Mytilus edulis: one gene and its partner. The protein of the gene in region 1 interacts with the protein of each later gene in a biochemical or structural test. Links are inferred from orthologs where the notes say so. Each region holds a gene or a part of one and is shown on either strand. Other genes may lie near its edges.

Region 1 (7,661 bases):
TTTAAATACATCATATAAGTTTTAAAATATAAAATGACATATATAGTCATGGCTAAAATTAATATTAATAAATAGGAACTGCTAAAAATAAATTGACAGCTAATCAATTCAAGACAGTCATCATTTCTTAATACATAATTTACAAGCAGTGTAAGGGAGGTAATCAAATATTGTTCTTTAAAATTGATTTGGATTACCTTCCTCAACACTTTGACAAAACAGTGACCTAGATTTTACAGAAAGACTCCTGTTGGCAATTTTTTACCTCTTTGTGTTCCTGTACCACCTATGCATGCATTTATGAAAATTATTTATACCTACAGTCACTTCCAGTTGCGTAGTGGACATCAAAAGTTGCCCATCCCCACCTGATTTTTGCTACTTTTCACGTTTATCTGATTTTGAACTCTTAAACGGTTTTCAAAGTGCCATATTTTCATAAACAGACATCTGAGAAGAGTTTATGAATCATGAACTGCTTGGTTGAAGTCCCTGTTATCATGACAGTTCAGCTTGGGCACTTCAAAAAAAGTATTGAGGGTCATATGGGCCATCAAAGAATGGTTGTCGCCATCACCCCTACAGGCGGTTTTTGGGGCTAAAAGGTTAAGCCATAAACCCCCAAAGTCAATCTTAACCATCCCTTTGTAGTATGGAAACTTGTGGTATAATTTCAGAGAGATTTAACACAAGTTATTGTCTTGAAACTACAAAAATGCTTATTTGGGCCCCTTTTTTGGTCCCTAATTCCTAAACAGTTGGGACCATTTAGTCACCATTACCCCAAAAATCAATTCAAACCTTCCTTTAGTGGTTACAAACCTTGTGTTGACATTTTCTATATGCTTATACTAAAGTTATTATCCGGAAACCATTTTTTCTACAAAATGCTGGAGAAATAGTCCTGTGTGTGATAAATTCATTATACGGTTTCCTCCTGACCCCCTACAGATCATAAAGTTAAATAGAATCCATAGGAGAAAATATACCTGGATGTCTATCATCAAAAGGATCTGGGTCCATCTTGTAAAATTCTTCTGTTTCTCTTTCAATAATATCTGATAACCTGTAATAAATAGGCTTATTGAATAAAGTGTGATTACGTGTTAGTTTTAACAGTTTGATATATACATGTATTTCTTTCAATTATCAGTTGAAATTGATTGTATCATTAAAAGTTACACTTAAATTGTATTTTAGTATAATTCATGCAGGTGCAATGTATCTCAACAAAAAAATGAAACTGGTATGATATAATACAATGAACTTGAATCTTTGCTTCAAGACCTGATCATAACCTTTTTCATCTAAGTACACAACTGTTAGATACACAGTACAAAATGTAAGTCAATCTGATTAGTAGTTGAGAAAAGCGGTATATTCAAAAACTCTTAAGAGCGTTTCTCTGTTTTATTGTATATCTACTCAACATATATTAGGTATTCCTTACTTTGTAAGCATGTTAATGATTTCATTGTTGTCAAGTCTGTTACGATATTCATTTGTAATCCATTCATCCAAAAAACCATTAAATTTAGTCAATGAATCTAGGGCAGCCATATCTCTGTTCTACAACACAATGTATATTTCTAACCTGCAAAAATAAAAACAACATATGTTATATATTGTAGCAGTGCTTCCCATGACATACATATAGATGTATAAACAACAAACATCAAATATCCCTTTGTTGGTAGAATCATATTTTTTAAACCACTCACTCAACATGGGAAGAAAAGTGACAGTTCCCCTAAGCACACAAATGATGTTCACTTAAACAAAACCTCTTGAGAGAAATGCATCCAATTCTAATGTTGTCTATAGATTTCATGATAAAAATGAAATGTATAGCAAGAAGAAATCTGTAGTGAACTAAACAAAAAATTAGTATTACTTTAAACATGACAAAACATTAAAATCAAATGGGTCTTTTCTATGTTTGTCTAAACTTCTGATTACAACAGTAGTATTTGTTAAGCTTAGTCAGTATACACACTGCCTTGTAACACAGTGGTCCTGGGCTTCAAGTCCTGGAGAAGACAAAGATGATTTTGTATGAAGAATCATGCTTCTACTTCGACTTCTACCATTTTGCGGCCACCATCAACAAAACTGATTAATTTGCACTGGCACTTATTTCTGTCAATATGGGGTTTACTAAAAAACTTTTGTACGGGTATGGATAGTAAACGACTTATTGACAGAAACAAGTGCCTGTGTTATTTTGTCACTTTTTGGATACACATGTAAATATTTTAGATAAAATTATGTTAACATTTTTTGTGCTATACAAATGTACATTCTACATGTGTATACAGTGAGGTTAAAAACACCCATGACGGTGGTCTAATCGTCTCATGTAGGTGAGTCTTGAAACTTTCAAGACTACCTGCACTGGAGGTGGTAAGTGGTAGTCTAGTCCCTTATTATTCTTGGATAGAACAATTCTTTCCTCATGGTTCTGCAAGTTGGTAATTGGAAACCGTTGATGTTTAAGTTCCAGGATAATGTCTGGTGGAATGAGCGTGTCTTCTGTATATAGGTTCACCATCCCGTTCGAAATTTTCCGAAATGCTCTCCCTGTTACACATAAGTTACATTGAGGGGTTTTCCCAATCTTTTTACCATTATCATTGAATGTCAACATTTTTTTTTACTTGTTATCAGGTGTCAGTTAAAATACTCGGTCCTAGCTTCAACATATATCTTAATATGAATGTAAAAGTATGGTCAATTTAAAATACTGGTAAAGTGAATTTCACAACAACTTTTAGTTATGTTACAGTAACAGAGAAAGTAAGCATTTCAAAGATTACAAGTATGTACAGCATGTGAATAAGTCGACAGTACAACATTTAGTTTGTCTATATATAATTTTCCTGCTTGTTTCACTGAAAACTGTCTCTTATTTATCATGTTTATGCTACCTAAATAACAAATTTCCCGCAATCTTTTTCGTTCATGCTTTATTTTTTTTTTTGAATACGAAAGTAATAGGAAAAGCCATTCTATCGGTTTTCGGATTTTTACCATAAAAATAATTGTGCATTTGGCGGGAATATTTAAAAGTAAGAAACACCTTTTCGAGTCTTAGTTTCGTGTCCACATGTAATCATATATGTCTCTTCTCTTGTGGGATTTTAATAAAGATTAGATAAAATCTTTATTAATGTAAAGATTGTGTTTGTGTTTTTCCTTTTAGCCTTAGGCTTAACTAGGGACCGCCGATTGATGCACCTTAGAGATTTTTTTCTCGCAGTAATACACCTTATCGCTATTCCCGGCTGACCCGTCCGCTTGAACTTTTGACGTCAACGACAATCACTTTTCCATTGTGGCGTCAGACATTTTGTTTTATGACGTCAAAATTTTACGGGAACCTGTGTGATTTCCAGCAATGGCGGACAAATAGCGATAAGGTGTATACTCGCAGTAATATGGCTAAAAATGACCCGTATTCCTTCGATTTACTTACTGAAGGCCGTACTTTGATCTATAATTAGGGAGCTACCATTTGATTTTTATGGGGGGGTCTAGGATGAAATTTGAAAAAAATAGACAGGACAGGAGTTTTGAGTAAAAAAAAAAAAGGCAGGATGAGACACTTGCCAAAAAAAAAAAAGGCAGATAAACTAAAAAAAAAAAAAAAAAAAAAGCAGGACCGAATAGAGTGAAAAATAAAAAGACAGGACAGAGATTACAACTAAAAAAAAATGCAGGACAAAATTTTTCATCCTAGCATTGATCGGCCAAAAAAAGGGGAGTTCCAACCCCCGGAACCCCTCCCTGGATCCGCCACTGACTTGATCTGCTTTAATATTATCGCTCACTTATTACTCCCAAAGTACCATCAAATCATTTACCAAATTTATTATATGGCAGTGGTTATTTTGTAAACTTATATTTGTTCCGCCTAACAGAAGTTCCAATGGAAACTTTGTTATAAACATTGTCACTCATATTCTATACCTTTTATTCCATTAGGAACATATACTGTAATAATTATTCCTATAGAAATAATATTCCAGAAAAAATAACAAGCTTCTCAATACACTAGAATATATTGATATGGGGTTACTTAAGCAACCAAAAAAGCAAAACATATATATAAGTCAATGTGCTTGTTTTTCGAGATATTAGCCATTGAAATTTTGGCGGGGAAAATATTCTCTCTTTATTTTTTATAGCATTATCATTGACAATTGAAAGTTCTCAAAAAGTATTATTTTTTTTTTACATTAGATGTGTTTTCACTATAATACGAGATTCTGATTGGCTACTCTGCAAGCTCGCGTTATTCTTTAAGCAGTTTCATTACACAATAAAATTTATCATTCATGATGACACGAGGCCCCACAATAAAGTGCACAGGTAAATGAAATAAAACTTGATAAAATTCGTGTTTTTATGCTCTTGCTTAAAAAACGTAATTATAAGCATTGAATGCTTCTTTTTTGCCGTAACTTCATAGGGTTGTAAAAGCGTTGACCGTGCGCACATTTTTAGAATGAAGCGCTTAGCGCTTAAGCGCTTCATACAAAATGCTTCGGTCAACGCTTTTTCACCCCAATGAAGTTACAAAAAGAAGCATTCAATTCTCAAATAACTAAGATTTTATAAGACTTTTACAGATGGCTTATAATAATACATGTAAAAGATCCATAAAAAGAAAAATAGGGGGTCAATGGGCAAATTTTTTAAGGCATTCAAATGGATAAAACCATAGGATATTGAGAATCTGACAAAAATCCCAAAACATGACAACCGTCCGAACATCCAGCTTAAAGAGGCACTAGCTACGAAATCTATGAAAAATCTAATATATTTTTTTGCTCTATCATTAATGAAATACAAATAGTGAAATAATAATTCGGCTTGAGCCGCCAGTATGGTTAAATGTTGTCAAAATAAGCCAATAAACATCGATTATGAATAATTCACTTGCAAGTGAATAATTCGACCTCATTGAATCCGTTTTCATGTGAACTTCAATTTAACTCCTTAGCTTGAGATGGATAACACGTGAATTGTATGTGTAAAGTTTTTTTTAAAGGAAAAGAATGTCAACATTGAAAGTGAAACAAAGGTAAAACATTTGATTGACTGATTCGATCCACAAAACATCATTCTTATACAGATAAAAACGACGAAAACACTATTTCCACTATAATATGAAATCAAATAGACCTAGAATAATTCAACAGCACGAGTTGGTTAATCTTTTCATATCTATATTTATGTTTACTTAGCTTATATGGCCATCGGATTACTTTACTTTAGAGGTCAACTCGATAATTAATTAGATGGCGTCTAAATTAAAATACACACTAAACGAAGCGGGTTTAACAGTCTTAACAGGCGCCAACCTACAACCTAACCTGAATCAGTATTGTAACAATGATGTCTATTTTTTTATTATACGATTGACAGGCATTTTTTTTCACGAAATAGTTTTACGTTTACGCGAATTAACCTGTAATTTACATGCGTTTTGATCCTGAGAATAACTTGAATTTTAAGATTTTTTGTTTAAAATTAATTATATTGATAGATAATTTACTATATAATATAATCAAACAAGTGTTAAATTAAGTTTCTTATTCAAACCTTAAAAAGCACTAAACGTACGTCGTGCGAATAAAAAGGTTTAATTAAAATACAGTTTATCTTTCCAAGAAATGAACATTCTAAGTATTAAAACATATCCTGGATTTAACACAGTATGTTATATTGATTGGAACAATATATAATACAGTCCTCGTTGTGAAAAGACTCTTGGACACAGTTGGTATGTTTTGTGCCTTAAATTGGAACAGTCGTCCACATTCTTTTTGTCGCCTTATTTGAATACTGTTATCTTTCTTTGGTTTGATTTTACAGAGTCAGAAAAAGCACATAGAGACTGCAGCCAAAGCCTCAAAACGAGTATTCTTGCGCCAAAATTTTAGAGATTTTAACCGAACAGTCCGAGAACTTTGACAACAGAGATCCATGGTCCGACCAACAGCGGAGTACGCTTCTGCTCAATGAGACCCATACAAAGTTAATGACTAAACAGACTCGACAAAGTACAAAGGGAGAGCCCGTTATGACTGTAATAACTACAGAGACAAAAGCCCTGAACGTGTCACAAACATGATTCAACTTCTTAACTTGGAATCACTATAGACCATCGCCTATTGATCACGTACAAGGCCATCAATATCATGATTCCCATACCAGAAACCGACAGTACTTTAGTAGAAAGTGACAACCAAACCAGACGTTCAAACAGACAAGTAGAGCTACACCAAAACAGAAGTGTACAAACAATCCTTCTTTTCACGCACTATCCAGAATTGGAACCTTCTGCCACACCATGCAGTCATGTCACTTTAATTATACTATGAAAATAAGTTCAGGATACAGTCAGATTATTAAATTGCCAAATATAACACTTTAACAAAAAACATAGAATAATTGACTATGTAAAAACTTTAAAAAGTGCTTCATATCAGCTTATCCATACCCCACGTTATTTACAGTGGGGACAACAGAGATCTCTATGATGTCTAGATTATTCTCTTATATGTCCACACTACTAGCCTATGGTACACGAATAAAAGAATGTATGTACCAGGAGATAAGCAACCATTTTATTATTGCCAGTATAGGTGATATCGGTGAGCAGATTAAACAAATTTTACTTATGTTTGTTTTTTTTTATTTCGTATGTCCGGCCTATTTGTATTACTTAGTATTTAAAAAAAAAAGCAAAAAACATATGAACAAAGAAAGCAGGCAGGTTGCAGGAAATTAAAAGAGGCGAAAATACCAAAGTGACACTCAAACTGTCAAGTCGAAAATAAACTGAAAACACAGTGGCAAAAACAAATTATCCAATGTTCCCTAAATATTAAGCTCGGAGTTGTTTCACTGCATTTAGAGTATTTGGTAATCATTTATATTTTTGTGTATTTAAATTTTCAAATGATGTTAATATATGTCATGTTAATGTGCACTTTCCTGCAATATTATTGGGGTACTTGTGTTTTGATTTTCACAATTAATCCAGCCCAGTTTGCTTGTTACAGAATACATGGTTTTCAAGTATAGACTGTATTTTTAAAAAGCTGGGCATACAAACATGTAATTTAAAAACCAGTATCTACTCTTTCACAAAATTTATCAAAGATAAGCTAGATCTCCATTTCTGGAAGGAAAATAGAAATAAAGTTTTACAATCAGATCAAGGTAAACTTACTACCTATTTTTCCTTTAAAACTCTATTTTGTTTTGAAAAATATATGGATCTAAAAGATTTTAGATTAAGACAATCAATCTGTAAAATTAGAATAAGCTCTCATCCATTAAGGATTAAGACTGATAGATATGCTAAACTTTATGTGAATAGGACACTGAGAAAATGTTTATATTGTACTTTAAATAAAGTTGAAGATGAGATACACTTTGTAACTGAATGTCCACTATATATTGATAACAGAAATGAGTTTTTTACTGAAATTTCTCTAAATTGTAATAATTTTCAATCTTTAGACAATTTTTCAAAGTTTTTATGGCTATTTACACAAGAAAATTTAAATGTGTATAAATGTTTAGGAAAGTATTTATCTCAAAATCTAGAGATAAGGAGAAGTTCAAAAATAATAAATGCAAATTAG
Region 2 (7,918 bases), on another chromosome or scaffold:
GTTTGATTTTCATGTCATATGTGATAAGGTTTAGTCAGTTTCCTCCTGCAGGTTGGCGTTTTCCTTCAAGTACTACGGTTTAGTACGCCACTAAAACTGACTGCCATGAAATTACCCATATGTTGTAGAAAGTGATGTTTATAAAACCAAAGCAAACAATCAAAGCTTTAAATCTTTGTCCATTTGTACAAGGAGCCGTAGTGGTTGAGCCATTTAACTTATGGTAATTTTACCAAACTGTGACCACAACTTCAAGATGTGACATCAGGCCTCTGTTCAATGGACAGTCCCACAATAAAAGTTAATTTTTCACGTCATACATTTTATATGGTTAATTTGTCAGTTTCCTGTCTCAGTTCTGTGTTTTTTTCTGGGTGCTTTGTTTAACTCTGCCAATAAAACTGACTGTCTTACATGAAATTATCCATGATGTAGAATGTGAAATTGACAGTTGACCTCTTTCAAAGAAACCACCAGCATGTACACACAACAATGCTGCAATCTTTTAGACAACATTGATCTAGAGACTGTATGATTTACATGTATAAAGCTTTTAAATGTAAAAAAATAAAAAAAATCCCTACCTACCTACCCACCTGCTGATAGTGTGGGTCGGCAATGCCAAACAAACATTTTTTTAAGGGTGGCCTAACATGAATATTATATTTAAGTCACATTTATAACGGTAAAAGACAAAGTAATAAACTTTTGGGGTGTTCGGTGGTGTTCGGCAGTGTGCGGTGGTGAAAAGACCTACCCGTAAAATAATATGGAGCCCATTGTACCATGGATAGGGAAATACTAAAAAATGTTGTTAAGTCACTCTACCCAAATACATTACTTTTTTTGTTTTTATATCTACTACACATGTTCATGTATTAATGTAGTATCATGTTGAAAAAAAATATAAGGGGTTGATGATGGAAGTGTTTAACGACCTTGACTTGCTTTACAGCCCTTGCAATGTTGGTGACTCCTCATTTAAGGCCATGGCAAAGTTGATGCAATATCTTACAATATTAATGCAAACCTTGGACTGTAAATACCAGTTTTGAAAATGATGAATCCAGACAGATTTTTAGGAGTTCTGTTGACTAATATGACTCGATTGTCTAAGTGTGAACCCTGATTTTGGTTTTCCAATTATTTTTTTTTCAGTGACAAATGATTAACTTTGCCACTTGGCTGTGAGAAGACAAAATAACTTACTGTTGACCAAAAAAAAAGTATTTGGAAGGTCTGCCATGATTTATTCTGACAACAGAAATAGGTGTCTTTAGCACTACATGTACAATGTATTTCCTAAGATAATATTTATTACAACTTAACAAAGTTCAAAGATATAGACAACAGCAGAATGAAAATTTAAAGCAAGTTCGTGACCGTGTGACATTTCTCAAAAAATTATTAGTGAAATAAGTACATAGTGTTATAATCAAGTATATACACCTTGTCATTTGAAAATCTGTCCCGCTGGACCCAAGAATCTGTCCTGCTTGAACTTCTGACGTCATATATACAATAATCACTTTTCCACTGTGGCATCAGATATTTACTAGGAACTGGCTACGGTTACATTGGAGACTAATTGCCGGAATGCAAAGTTGGGTAAGGAATTGATTAATTACAAATGTAACAATAATTACTGAGGCTACGGTTACATTACTTTATTGTTACATGAAAAACAGCAATGTACGCTAGATTGATTAAACTTAAATCTTCTATAGTTGTATTGCTTCATTATTTCATATGTACCAAACATTACTTGTAGTTTAATACTGATAAATAATAAAATATTATTATTCAACAAATGGTGTACAACTTGAATAGTTTTACTACGTATTAATGGTTTTGATGTTCTTAAAGATACTACTCAAGATTAGGAGTGTGACTGTCAAAGGCGAAAAATATAGTTCAATGGTTTCACTTTTTTAAAGTATTTAACTGCACACCTACTCTTATTACTGTCATTATATTTTGGACCAATTTTGTTTATGGTGAAAAAAATAAAACTTGGGATGCGTTTTAAATGAAACTGAAAGAATATCAAGACATACATTTCATACAGCTTTATAACTTGACGCAAATTGATAATCAAAAGCAAAGTTTGCTAACTGTAACTTAAATACTAAGAAATTCTGTATGTACACGTATGCGTGGAGGACGTAATTTCGTTCATCAAAAATGTGTCGGACTTTAAAAACAACTTACTGGATTTGTAGAAATTGTCATTGTGAATAAAAAATTACAGTAAATAAATTGTATGTTATAAATGTATGTAATAAATGTCCTCAACTTTCATTATTTAGTACATATTACTAGTCCCATCGTGCATTGCTTTTTTCATGTAACAATAACGCAATGTAACCGTAGCCTCAATAATTATTGTTACATTCGTAATTAAGCCGGTCCTTACCCAACCATGCATTCCGGCATTTACTCTCCAATGTAACAATAATATTTTTTATTATTGTTACATTTCCATGTAACCGTAGCCAGTGCCTATTTACTATTTCAAAGTTCCCATAAAAATTTGATGTCATATATATATAATTTTGTGATGTCCAGTATTGGCGGACAAATAGCGATAAGGTGTATTGTTTTTCAAAGACAATTAAGTACATGCAACTATCTCTTGGTCCCAGATTTATCAGTGTGTCAAATCACAAACTTACATGTATGACACTATAATTTATAAAAATGGCTTCTCTAAATTTTGAATCAATCATCAACCGTAATTTATAAGCATATATAATTTTGCCCTAGATAAGATCAGATATAATAATTTGAGATAATGGGCACTCAAATTTTAATAGCTAAATAGGTTAAATCAGGGTTAAATTCAATAAACTTGTCTTGTTGCATGTACCTCTAAAGCTCCAGTATTTTGCCGTTTTCCAGGTGAAACTTTTGTGAAAAATGTTGAAATCTTTGCTTGATTATTCATTATTATTCTAAGGAGTTGAATGTTGTTATTGATAACCATGTGGAAATTTCCCGCGTAATACATTGACCTCCGGGTTCACCTAATCAAAATTGTGCTTCTTTGAATTAAGGGAAATTATCCAATCATAGCATGTGTAACTTCAACAACTTGGATTATTTTTGTTTACATCCGCTTCTGAAATATTTCACATGCACGATTCAGGAAACAACAAGTTTGAATCATTAAAACAGTAAAAAGATTGAACAGAAGTAAGATGCTTCAATAACAAATATGTACACATATAAACAAACACATGTATATATTTTTGTTTGCCAATCTAGAATGAGCAGAATAATTACAATCACTATTTTCAAACATACTAGATTGCTTGAAGTCCAGTGGCAAATATTTCATGCGTTTTTTAGAACGATTAAACATTTATTTAATATACTTTAAACATCACCTATTCCCTGCATATCCTTGTATTATTGGTTATCTTCTTCCCTGCACCTTCAATCAGTGATCAGTTATTCTTGTATCACAGCTTTGAGTTTGAGACCAGGCATAATCAGCGAAGTCACAATGACATCTAAGCAGAAGTTATCAGCGACGTTTCAATGTGAGAGGAGACGTAATTAAGCTTGTTTCTGTCAAGCATAAAACTTTCTTAGAGAAGGAAAAAAGAGTTAGACGGTAATAATACGATAAACAGATGAATTTGGTTTTGTGTATGCTCCACAACTTGAAGCTTTTAAGCTCTTTTGCTGTGCTCACTCACCCCAAAAAGTTCACATTGTGGCTCACGGCTGATATTTTATGATATCTTTGTGTAGTAAACCCAAAAATCTACATTTATTGTGTTTATTAGATTGATTGTGACATCACAATTTCCATTAAAAAAGCATAAACAGTATACAAATTACATTTGATGTATGATAAATGTATATGATTTGGCGATAGGTATAATTTGATTATTTTATTGGATACCAACCAGATCAAGAGAATCACTCAAATTTAGTTTTATCGGTATCACAAATACTTTTAAGAACTGGATCTCAATGAGCACCACTGGACATTTTTCAACAAGAGATATTGTGAGCTAGGGGCATTTGGATATACAAATGTATTGCTTTTAGATGGGTGCACAATGCTTATAACATTTTAAATGTCTGTCTGATGTGTTGTGTAACCATATCAAGATCAAGATGTACAGTTCAGGAATATCCAGTAAATAGAATAATATAATTTAATTCATGTAGAATATACCAGGTCACAAATTATTTGATGTAAACTGAGATATATACCAATTGCAGTGTATATTATTTTCTTCTCTTTTAATCTGTTAATGAAATTTGAGCAAAAATTAACCCTTACCATGCGAGGGCCGTAATATTATGGCCACACCCAAAGCACTGTTATTTGGCACGCTCCAAACATTTTGAGGTCAACGTCATGCCATTTACACTGTGCTTAAACGGCTGTGGGTAACTTAAGTTACCCACAGCCCAAGATGGCGGACTCTAAACTCGTTGATATTTAATTCATACAAAATGTACCTTTTGCGACGTTTTTCATGCAGAATGTAAATCTTTATAGGATTATTGAATAAAGAAATGACTAACAATTACCATAAATTTGTTAATATAGAGTTCACTAAAGCGCAAGGTCAACTTTAAAAAATGCATAATATGTCCGTAACTTTTTTATCGAAACTAAGCAGACTGTCCGTAACTTTATTTTTAGATGTGGGTAACTTTTGATTTAAAATTTTAAAATTAGAAGACAATTAACATCATATTTGTAACCTTCGCGGCCGTTTATACTACTCATTCACCACCAAATGTGATTTTATCAACGCATCATACTTACACCACAGAAGTTTTATGTGGGGTTTGTGGTACTCCATCCTGGTTATGGTTTGAACTTTTATTTACTGATGTGCGTCTTATCGACGTTTTTGGCTTGTCAGACCAAGGCTTTTCCATACTCTTTAATGTTTTGAGTTTAATTATATGTTTGCGGTTTACCTTCACCTCTGTTTCTTTCTATGTGTATTTTGATGAATACTCTTTGACGAGGCTCGGTATTTATACATCCCACCAGTTAGTTATAGTGTTATGATTTTTTGAATATGTTTCCTAGTATGTTTTTTTTTCTCTCTTTGTATGTTATCAGGGGTTGTTAGACTATTAAATTACCCTGTTGTCCTACGTAGTTATTTATATTTTTATATACTATGTCGAATTGTTACAGTTATGTTGACTGCTCTTTTCCTTTTATTGTCACTGACTTTTACCTATTGTGTCTTTTAGTTTTATTCAGTTTAATGAGATTTGATGCAACTTGCATACAAATGAAATATGCAGCTAGCTGTAAAACTAGGTTTATTCATTTATACAAAATGTCCTTTTTTTTTAAAAGTTTTCCCATTTACTGTAAATCTTGGCCAGGGTGCCGCAATATCACCGTGCGCAACGTCCCAGTGTGTCCAGATTGACACCCCTTTTATTTTACTGTCAATGCTGATGGGATTTGTTTGTGTGGGGATGAGAGAAAAGTGTTTTTGGCTTTTTCAAAAAGACGGGAAAAGTTTGTGCACTTAAGTCTCGTATAGTCTATCCACTGCATGCCTGGGCAATTTGGGTTCCCCTCCAAAATCCCGAATTCACGCTACCCTTGTCGTAACGTTGCTGGCAGAAAATCAGTAAGTGTATACATGCTACATGTATGTGTAAAAAATACTTGTGTAGTCTACTTGTTCAAAAATAAAAACGAACAATGATGTTTCAACAGTTTATCTGCTATGATCGGAAACAACCCTCCGAACTAGGCGATTCGGGTACCCCGACGTTATACAAAATGAGAGTTTTGCGGATTTATCGTGATTTTTTTCATATTTTCCCAATTTTGTCTTCCATCGATACAATGAATTATATCATACTAGACATCTACTTCGTTTTGTGAATATGTATTCGATGCAATCTCTATCATCAGTTTAAACATTACATCCGCGTATGTCGATTCTTTGAAAGTTACGGACATCTCTATTGGTATGATGAAAAAAGTTACGGACAAGTTGTTTTGAAGTTACGGACAGCCTAAGTGTTTTTTAAAATCGTGCTGTGATCGTTTATTTTGTAGAATTTAATCACCTTTCCAATTTAGGGGTTTCCCTAAACGATTAATACAACTTTTAAATTCAGTTGTTTAAGTTGATGCATTCGTGGTATTGTTATTCTATAGAAGAAAAGTATCTAACCGACGCAAGGCGGCTCCATCTTGGGCTGTGGGTAACTTAAGTTACCCACAGCCGTTTAAGCACAGTGATTTAATTGGAAGTGTATGCATGTTTCCTCAATCTTGCACAATTAATTGTCATCTTTCTCACTTTTAAAGTTCATTTTGAGCTCAAATACAAACTTGGAAAATTGAAATCAGACCAAAGTGTTGTTTTTTTTGAGTGGTGGGCTTACCTTCGAGGTCTGAAATCAGAATTTTTTAGAATTTTGGTGCAAACGACCTTTTTTAGACTGATTTACCCAGATCAGTTTCACTCTAATCTAACAACTGTTGTGATAAATGTGTTCACTGGGGTCCACTCTACATCTAAACAATAGCTGGATGCATCTATTAGCATTCCTCTTACCTCCTGGTCGAGAAAAATAACATAAAAACGTCAAAATTGACACTTTTTGCACATGAGGACCAAATTAGGGCCAAATAAAATAGTATGTGCATTTCCAGTTACATTTAAAAAAGTTAGGGTACTCTTTGATAGGTACATTGTACATGTAGGTAGGAATTTTGTTTTTAGTTTTGATTGTTTTTTTTTTTTACTGTAACATTGAGTCTATTGGAGCGACACTCTGACTTTGACAGTGCTGAATGAAAAATGACAAGTAATTGGAACCACAGTTGTACAAATTCTACTGTAAAATGTATACAAATTTAAAACAATGTTTAAATGTAAAGACTAATCTTACTTCCATAGTTAGTCACAGAAGAACCAAAATATATGTTTAAAGCCTAGTGTTTCTCGTCCTACATCCTACCGAGGACTCATTAATTTTTCTGTACATACATTTAAACCTGTTTTCACTAAAGACACAATAATAACTTATCATCCTAGATAACAAACAAGGTTAACAGGAGACCAATGTGTAGAAAAATATGTTATCTTTATATCTATAAAACTACTATAAAAAATGTGTAGTAAAGTCCTTAAACACTTTTTAATTTAAAAAAAAAAGGTATCAAGAAGTATCTGACACAATCCTGATAAGTTCCTATTTTTTACAATGTATTATTTTAATTTGAAATGATATTTTTTTTTAATTTTTACCACATGTACCTCTATAACTGATTTATCTGTTTTAATCATTATATTAAATTACACATTGTAAATTAAGTAAGTATAAATATCTGTTTTTATATGCCCCTTTACAGGACACATTATGGTGTACAACTGTCCGTCATTATGTCTGTCTGTCTGTTAGTTGTCAAGTTTACATGTTGGAAAAAAACTCAGAGGCTTTAACCAATTTATTATGAAACTTTTGTGAATTGTTTATATATCTATGGATGTAAGCTCACTTTCACTTTTTGTAAATTTAATATTTTAAGTTTCTGAAGTATATTGTGTATGGGATTTTATTCATAAAAAAGGGGGATCCAGTTTTCAAAACCATTACTCTAAAGTGCTTTGAGCAGTTTTCAGGATGATTGATTACTGGTTTCTATCTGTTAAAATAACCTCCCTCTAAATAACTTCATTCTTTGGAAAAGTTATCTTCCTTGGAAATGCATAGAATGACTTTGCCTTCATTTGTATTTCGTAGAAGAGCTGTTACTCTTGGTAATCTTCATTACTTTTGTTTATGATGTGAACATTCCTTGAGTGCTATTTTATCAATCCTGAGCCAGCTTTTAAATTTGCTGACTGTTTTATTCTCAATTTTGGATGGTTATATATACTTTCTTTCACATTTCTGG

Evidence for each region. The genes of interacting proteins can lie anywhere in the genome.
Region 2: of the proteins of DDB1- and CUL4-associated factor 1-like (region 1) and uracil-DNA glycosylase-like, one has a biochemical effect on the other in vitro, tested with the Homo sapiens proteins (2 studies listed by BioGRID, with this or other methods). The link is inferred for Mytilus edulis from reciprocal best matches to the Homo sapiens genes DCAF1 and UNG.

The regions. Positions count from the first base shown.
Region 1 is NC_092344.1:96,407,760-96,415,420, reverse strand, and holds the start of DDB1- and CUL4-associated factor 1-like, read right to left. Parts: upstream 3,015-7,661; 5' UTR 2,928-3,014; intron 1,595-2,927; 5' UTR 1,561-1,594; coding exon 1,451-1,560; intron 1,067-1,450; coding exon 990-1,066; intron 1-989. UniProt on the Homo sapiens protein: Acts both as a substrate recognition component of E3 ubiquitin-protein ligase complexes and as an atypical serine/threonine-protein kinase, playing key roles in various processes such as cell cycle, telomerase regulation and histone modification.
Region 2 is NC_092347.1:84,815,860-84,823,777, reverse strand, and holds the start of uracil-DNA glycosylase-like, read right to left. Parts: upstream 3,020-7,918; 5' UTR 3,011-3,019; coding exon 2,870-3,010; intron 1-2,869. UniProt on the Homo sapiens protein: Uracil-DNA glycosylase that hydrolyzes the N-glycosidic bond between uracil and deoxyribose in single- and double-stranded DNA (ssDNA and dsDNA) to release a free uracil residue and form an abasic (apurinic/apyrimidinic; AP) site.